Linked DNA regions of Nothobranchius furzeri. The protein of the gene in region 1 purifies or fractionates together with the protein of each later gene. This does not show direct contact. Links are inferred from orthologs where the notes say so. Each region holds a gene or a part of one and is shown in the gene's direction. Other genes may lie near its edges.

Evidence for each region.
Region 2: the proteins of clec16a (region 1) and rnf41 purify together in Homo sapiens (affinity purification with mass spectrometry; 3 studies listed by BioGRID and IntAct, with this or other methods). This does not show direct contact. The link is inferred for Nothobranchius furzeri from reciprocal best matches to the Homo sapiens genes CLEC16A and RNF41.

The regions. Positions count from the first base shown.
Region 1 is NC_091752.1:63,103,430-63,107,250, forward strand, and holds part of clec16a (protein CLEC16A), read left to right. Parts: intron 1-2,989; coding exon 2,990-3,194; intron 3,195-3,749; coding exon 3,750-3,821. UniProt on the Homo sapiens protein: Regulator of mitophagy through the upstream regulation of the RNF41/NRDP1-PRKN pathway. Mitophagy is a selective form of autophagy necessary for mitochondrial quality control.
Region 2 is NC_091755.1:37,149,459-37,153,837, reverse strand, and holds the start of rnf41 (E3 ubiquitin-protein ligase NRDP1), read left to right. Parts: upstream 1-1,511; 5' UTR 1,512-1,636; intron 1,637-2,355; 5' UTR 2,356-2,451; intron 2,452-4,379. Other genes in the region: uncharacterized protein, read right to left, coding at 1-618. UniProt on the Homo sapiens protein: Acts as E3 ubiquitin-protein ligase and regulates the degradation of target proteins. Polyubiquitinates MYD88. Negatively regulates MYD88-dependent production of pro-inflammatory cytokines.

The DNA.
Region 1 (3,821 bases):
GCTGCCACCACACCACCCCTCTTCCCCCCACAGCCCTCTGTGTCTAAGTGCAGATTAAAATTGGAAGTGGGCACCGGCACCTGGGATGAGGCTGAAAGAACCCCTTGCCAAATGTTGTTGAATGTGCTTACTCCCAAGGCCCTAAGTGTGTGTTTGCATGGAATGTCATTAGTGGAAGTGTTTAATGTGCAAATAAAATTGGGGGGGGGGGGGGGGGCAGGTTGCCACAGGAATGCAGAAATGGGGTCCATACCCGCACCCCCTGACTTGTCCACCCCTCAAAGTCCTATGTGCATGTTTGTGTGATGATGTGAGGGAGCAGGAGGAGAAAAATGTGTGGGGATGGGGAGGAATGGCTGGTTGGCTTAAGCCGTCCAGGGAGCTAGCTCCCCCACTGGCTCCAGTAGGCACCTCCGTTGCCAAAATGCCACCCAGGGCATGGAGACCCCAGCCCATCCTGCCAGGACCCAAAGCAGCAGCATTGCATAGCTCCACAGAGTCCAAGGGAACCAACGCAGCCCCACCCCAGCAGAATATCTACTCCCATCCCTGCATTTGCACAGCTTCCAGAATATATGACATAGGACATCCAGGTAAAGTTGGGTCCTCCCCCTCCTGGACATTCCCCTCCCCCGTGATGGACAGCAGAGGAGCCAAGGTCTACCCGAGGTCCCTGAGCCCGGGCCAGGCTCTGCCGCATGTTCCCGCCTTCTTCCCGGCAGCAGACATGTCAGGACCTGAAATATCAGTGACCCTCCTATAATCGCTATGTGATGGAACCGATCAAAGGAGCCCAAAGAGATTCACTTGAAGTGGAGGCAGAGGCTGTATCAAGTGCAATATGATCTAACAAAAGATTTCTATACTGGTTAATGCAAAGAGTATCTCTATTTTTCCAATTCAAGAGGATAGTTTTCTTAGCGATGCATATGGCATATGGACCACATGAACCAAAGATGTTTCAATTGGGTCATCGTCCAGGTTTCCCAGTAAACCAAGAGGGGGGGAAGTTGGGATATGACATTTCAGACACTTTGACATGTCTTCACATACTCTACCCAAAAATTCCTGGACATGTGGACAGGACCACAGTGCCTGGATGTAATTGTCAGGAATGTTGTTTGTGCACTGTGTACAGGTGTCAGATGACACAAACCCCATCCTGAACATCCGATGGCTTGTATAGTGTACTCTGTTCAGAATTTTGTACTGCATTAATTGTGAACTGGGGTTTCTGATTATTTAAAAAGTTTTTAAACAAGTTTGGGACCAGACGTTCTGGTCAAAGCTGACTGATGGATCCACCTCCCATTTTTCAATAGGGATTGCAATTTTATCGTCTTATATACTTTAGACAGTAGTTTGACGGGTTTGAGATTATAGAAGTCTAAAACCCTTGGTGGTGTTTGTAATTCTACTTTATTGAGCTGAAATTTTTGTTTGACTACAGATTTAATTTGGTGATATTCTGAAAAGCTATTATTATCAACTCCAAATTGGGAGACTATTCTGTTAAATGGGATGAAGTCCAATCCTTCATATATGTGTTCCAGGTATAGGATTCCTTTATTTTTCCAATCCGGAAGTTTCATCATTTTGTTATTTTGCAAAAATCTGGATTATTCCAGATAGGTGTGCGTCTGCATGGTACTAGTGAAGACTCTGTCATTTTTAGATGAAAGTTAGAAAGTTTTAGATGAAAGTTGAAATATTTTCAACTTTTCATCGCTGTCGCTCGGGCGAGGATCAATCATTGGAGGTTTCATTCCATAACCAGTGAGCGGACAGGATGCGCCTTACAACTCCGAGCAAACATGGAGGAGAAGATACTTGCTGTGACGGATTTCCCAGAACTGTACAATATTTCTACCAAAGAATATAGAGATATTCACAAAAAGGCCACAGCATGGGAAATTGTTGGTGCCACAGTTAACACATCAGGATAATCCTAGAAGTCTCTCATGAAATGATGGTATTCGCCATTTCTTTCTCTGGTTTGTAGTATGGGATGAACGTATTCTCAGGTATTTTTTTTTTATATATATATATATAGTAAAATCAGAAGCAAGATTTCACATAACTCTAACAGCACCTTGTGAAACATCATATCTACCGCTTTTTTAACTCTAAACCGCTTAAATAACCTTAATTCCCTCCAACCTGACACAGCCAATCAAAACAAAGGAAGGTTCGATTTCGCCATGGAACCGAACGCGTAGACGGCTTTGTCACTGGCCGCTGCCGCGGGTCGCCTCCCGTGTGTCGGGTAATAAAAGTGACAGCAACAAATTTTGCTGGTCGCGGTCGTTTGTCGCCTCCCGTGTATCGAGCCCATAAGGCAGCAAATTTTACTTTTAACTAAGATGCACTAAAGTGCCAAATTATTGTCTACACTTGTCTACACGTGTTTATATAGTTTATCAGCCAAAAAATGATTGACTTGGGGGTGACTTGCACTTTAAAAAATGGGGAAAAGGAAACTTGGGACTTTATCATTTACCATTTTATCATTTTTAAAACAGATTGTTATTCCCTGTGACCCCGCTGTGTTTCTTGACCCACAGCAGCAACGTTGGAAACAGCAGTTTTAAATAAATAAAGGAGTAGATTTCCATCTGACTGATTAGTAGCTTCAATAATGTAAATATTTAAGTGTAGCTGGGTCCCGTTTTATTTTTTTATAGGTTGGTTTTTTGTGTTTAATTTAACTAATCCCTCTCATCATCTTTCAGATGTTTCTTAGATCCAGTCCAGTTTCCCACAGCTATTTCGCATTCCTGTTGGTTACCATTCATCTCCTGATTCCATCGTTCAGTCTTTACTTTTATATTCTTTAACTTTTCCGTTTTAATTGAAAGCGACCATGAGAGAAAATTTGGGTGTTTTCTTTAGCACCATTAGTGGTGCTATAAACAGTCAGTCTACCCCTGGGTCAGCGTTACTGACACCACCTACTGCTCTGTGTGTCTCTCTCTCTCTCTTTCTAAAGGACATGCAGGTGTCCGGTGTGGAGGACGACAGCAGAGCTTTGAATATCATTATCCACAAACCCAGCTCCAACCCTCACGCCAAGCCTTTGCCCATTCTGCAGGCCAACTTCATCTTCGCCGACCACATCCGCTGCATCATCGCCAAGCAGAGGCTGGCCAAAGGCCGCATTCAGGCCCGCCGCATGAAGATGCAGAGGATTGCAGGTGAGGGAAGCCGATGAGGGCGTTGTCAGTAAGCTCCCTCTGCACAAACGGCCTGTCTGAACGCTTCTGTGAAGCGTGGGTTTACCAGGAAACACGAGGGTAGACGCTGAAACGTTCAGCTGATGGATGGGCGCAGCAGATAGGAAAGAGATTTTAGTTTTTATTGAACTGACCAATCAGAGCGGAGTTTTACGAAACATGATGTCATTTCCTTGAATTTGACACGTTTAACTGGAACAAGTAATTCTGCTTAATACAGAAAGTGACTCACTTCATTTATCAAGAACTGTCCTCCCCTGTTGTCTTTCCTGTATTTGTAACCCACTTAGAAAGTTCTTGCAGATTAGTTTAGTTCTATCAAATCTGATGACTTCAGGAGGTTAAACTTCCCCTCATCAAGATGTATTTCCCTAGAGATGCAGTGGGAGCATCTAGTCTCACTGGTTCAGCAAATCTAGGAGGATGTGACTCCCGTCAGAATCTAGTCACTGTTTTAGTTTCTCCTTCTCAGATGTTTATCCTCACCTGTTTTCACTCCACTTCCTGTACACTCAGCCCTGTTGGACCTGCCGGTGCAGCCCGGTGCTACAGAGGTGTTGGGCTTTGGTCAGACGGCCAACGCTTTGC
Region 2 (4,379 bases), on another chromosome or scaffold:
TGCCATCACATTGTCCTCTGTGGCAGTGTCCACACGCAGTTTTTCAGTTTCTTCATAACTTCTCAGTTTACTTTTAAATTCTGAAAAAGTCATGTCATCATCACTTTGTGTCACATGGATTCTAAAAGGCGTAAATGAGTCAGGTAGACCTTTTAAAACCATTGCTATTAGCAGTCCATCGCTCAAAGTTTCACCTGCGGTTCTCAGCGCTGTAATGGCGGCCTCGGCTCTCAAAACATAATCCGTTACACTCTCGCCGCTCTTCTGCTGTAATGCAGTCAGTTCTGTATATAAGCTTATTATGCGGGGTTTTCCCTTCCCGGCATAGTGTTCTCTCAAGATAATTAGAGCTTTCCGCCCGTCGTCAGCTGCGTCTCTCATCACCAGTGAAAGGCTCTTATCATCCAGGAATTGTATAAGTTCGGCATATGCCTCTGCGTTCTTTGAATCATATTCCTCATCATCGTCATCGTCTTTCGGTTTTAATATAATGTCTTTCAAACCTTGTAGCCGGAGGTGTCCGAGAAACTTTGTTTCCCACAGTTCATATTTATCCTCGTCTCCGTCAAATACCAGTCTTGACCAGCGGGTACTGGCTTCCACTGTCTTCCGACTCATAGTGTCCGACACACGTCGTAGCTCTCACTCGACTCACCGGACTTGCTGTTGGTCGGTTCTGTGCTCCTCACACGCTAGCAGGATGCTTTCCCAGCTGTCCTGATTAGCTTGGTGCGCAGCGGAAGCGTGCTGGGCCCATAACCTGTTAGCAGAGTTTCGTTTACCCAGCGGTTGGTCCAAGACTCCAAAATGAATCTCCAGGATTAAAAAAAGGAGGAAATAAATCCATAAACAGAGCGTCTGTTTCACGGGCCTTCACTGGTGGTAGCACACACTGATTGCGGCCACTAAAACACCAATGCTCCCTTTTATTGGTCAATTTACGAGGTCAAAGTTTAACTTCCTCTACAGGTACTTTTCAGTATAAAAGCATACATGTATATACACACACACACATTCTTATTTACAAATTTACACAGATGCATAACATAACAGAGCATAACAGAGCACATTAGACTGATGCTTAACAATTATTTCACAAAATTGATCCATTTGAGGCTTTTTTATTGGATGAAATCATAATGGAGGAAATGTATTGTCTGAGCTCTTGAAAACAAACAAACTTTTCAACATGGCATTTAGCTTACATTATTATAATATTAATGTGTTTTTTTAATCTCAATGTCATTTCTGAGGAACCCAAATAACACATTTCTCCATTATAACTTGAAGTCCGGATTAATGTTTATACAATTATTTACCCAAAACTGATTAACAAACAGACAATTAAAAAAAGAATGTACAAAGAAACAGCAGTCCGTTATGAAAGTTTTAACCGGATAAGGACATTTTCGACAGTGTTAGTGATTAACATTGTTTCGGTAAGAGAGACATTTTTCATTATAAAATTCACTTTTGGGATTTCTGCAGTTTTGCGTGATGACGTTTCCCCTCGTGTCGATTGAGACGTAGACTTGTATGACGTAGCACCAAGACGTGATTAGCAAGGGGCTAGTGTTGGTACGACGTCTGAAAACAGCCTGAATTGTGAAAAGGATCTATTTTACTCAATGTCTGAGTAAGTATATCAGTCAGCTGTTATATCTTGAGCAGTGCAGCTGACTGTAAACAGCTATTGGTGTGTGAAGTTGTCTCTAACGGAGGTCAGTCTGGTTAGCTTATAGCTAATGTCCAAAGGAAACCAACGACAGCGTAGCCGCTAGCTGGGCTAGCTAACGTTACATATTCAGAAATCGTGACAGTCAAACTGTGCTGCTGTACTTTGTAAACCATTAAGATATTTTTCTCTTTGACGCATGTTTACGTTATTAAAAATCAAGTTTTTACGATTTAGTTTAAAGTGTTATTATATGCGTGAAGATAACATTGAGAAACCTCGATGCTCAGCTAAGTTTTGTGCTCCTTGCTCTGAAATATGATGGAAACATGTTGATCTCAAAGCTGTTTCTTTTCATTTTTTGGAATCATTCATTTGTTAACCAGGACAGTAGATAAATATGTTTATTGTAAAATCACGTTGAAAAGTCAGCCTGAGGATGTGAATATGTATGAAAATGGCTACGCTCAATTTAAAGTTCAAATTCTTTATCCTCCAAAAAAACTGTCGGTATGGTAAATTTTTTTAGAAAGTACTTAATCTCAGATTTCAGCTAGTTAAACTCATTTGAGTACATTGTGTATACGTGATATGGGATTTAATGTTCTTGCATATGTGGTTTACAATCATCAGACTAAAAGTTTTTTTTTAAATGCAATAATTTTTTCCTTTTTATTCAGGCAGGGTCTGTGTCTTTTTAGGCAGGCAGAGCATTTCTGCCAGATGTGAGGAATCGAGGAGCTGAATGGAAATATTTGAGGCAGTTTGTGTTTGAGGTAAACAAGATGTTCTAACCAGAACTGTAAATTATTATTTTGACAAAATGTCAATCATTTTTTGATAGTAATTATTCATAGATAGTGTAAAAAACCCTTCTCATCTTAGTTTTAGCCAGGTTTGTTTCACAGTACTGGTATTTAGTAGCGTAGCAAGTGTATAAATGTAAATGTAAAAAAACAACCACACACACATATATACAAACAGTGAGCTAAAGAATTAGTTACTGTACTATATTACATTATCTTTCTGAGCACTCCTTTTCTATGGCCGTCTCCAAGTTTAGGTCCTTCACCACCACCCTTACCCATGGTGTCCCACAAGGTTCTCTGCTCTTCCTCCTCTATCTGCTTCCTCTTCAGCACATCCTGAGCTCCTTCAAAGGAATATCCTACCATCTTTATGCAGATGACATCCAACTGTACATCTCCTTTAAGCCCCATGAGATGTCTAAGCTGCAGCTGTTACACACCTGCTTAGACTCTATCAAAACCTGGATGGCTGGGAGCTTTCTTCAGCTGAATGAAGATAAGACTGAGATCCTCATCTGTGCCCCAGACAAGCTGGTTCCCAAAGTCAGAGACTCTCTTGGTCAGCTTGCTTCCCACACCAAACCTTCTGTCAGGAATCTTGGCGTGACCTTTGACCCAGCTCTCACCCTGGATTCTCATGTCATTTCTCTTGTTTGCTCTTCCTTCTTCCATCTCAGGAACGTTGCTAAGCTGAGTCCCATTCTGTCCCGCTCTGAACTTGAGACAGTTCTCCACTCCTTCATCTCCTCATGCTTAGACTACTGTAACTCTCTTTTCACGTGTCTGAGCAGAACCTCCCTGAACCGTCTACAGGTGGTTCGGAATGCCTGTGCTCGGCTTCTGACCAAGTCCTCCAAACACACCCACATCACTCCGCTTCTCCTCCAGCTTCACTGGCTGCCAGTCAACTTCAGGGTTCATTTCAAGATCCTGGTTCTGGTCTATAGGGCCTTACATGGACAAGCACCATCTTACATTGGTGATCTTCTTAGTCCCTACACCCCCAGCAGGTCCCTGAGGTCCGGTGATCAAAGCCTACTGGTTGTGCAGCACCAGACTAAAGACCAAAGGTGACAGATCATTTGCTGCTGTGGCCCCCAGACTCTGGAACTCTCTCCCCCTGAGCCTGAGATCAGTGGACTCAGTGGTCTCCTTTAAAAAGCAGCTGAAGACTCACCTGTTCAAGCTGGCTTTTGTATGACCTTCTTCACCTCTCTCTTTTTGTTCTGCTCTCCCCACCTATTCCACCTTCCTCAGGATCCACTGATTTCCCTCTTTCCTGTTCACTCTCTCTCTTTCTTAACATTTTTTAATTACAATTGCCCATTTTTTTTGCTCATTTAAAATATATTTTTAACCATTTTCTAAATTCTTTTTTATATTTTTTCATTTTTTGTTTTTGTGAAGCGCCTCGTGATTTTTATCTTGAGAAGCGCTATCGAAATGATATTTTCTTCCTCTTCATAATAAACAACATGATGAAACATGTCACCTTCTTGTGTTGAAATCTGTGTAAAATACTTTCGGTTTGGGGGGGGGGGGTGAGATTAAATAATTCAGCATCTCAGAAGCCCTTTTACAATACACACCGCCTTAATCTTATAAAAAGGACACGATTGCACCACATTACCGCCACAGTCTGACCACTTATGAACAACCTAAGGCTCCCTGATGCTGCCACGGCATTGCGGCAAATTAATGGCATTGTTTTGTAAAAATGGCTAGAGTGATAATAGAAACATTTGCTCATCAGGTTGCAGTACAAGCATTGCCAAGTATCTCCATTTCTGCTTTCTGAAAGGCATCTGGGTCATCCATTACAATACGATTTGGGACAATCACATTCCTCCTTTACATTATTTTGTTGACAAAGAAATTTTTAATTACATTAAAAC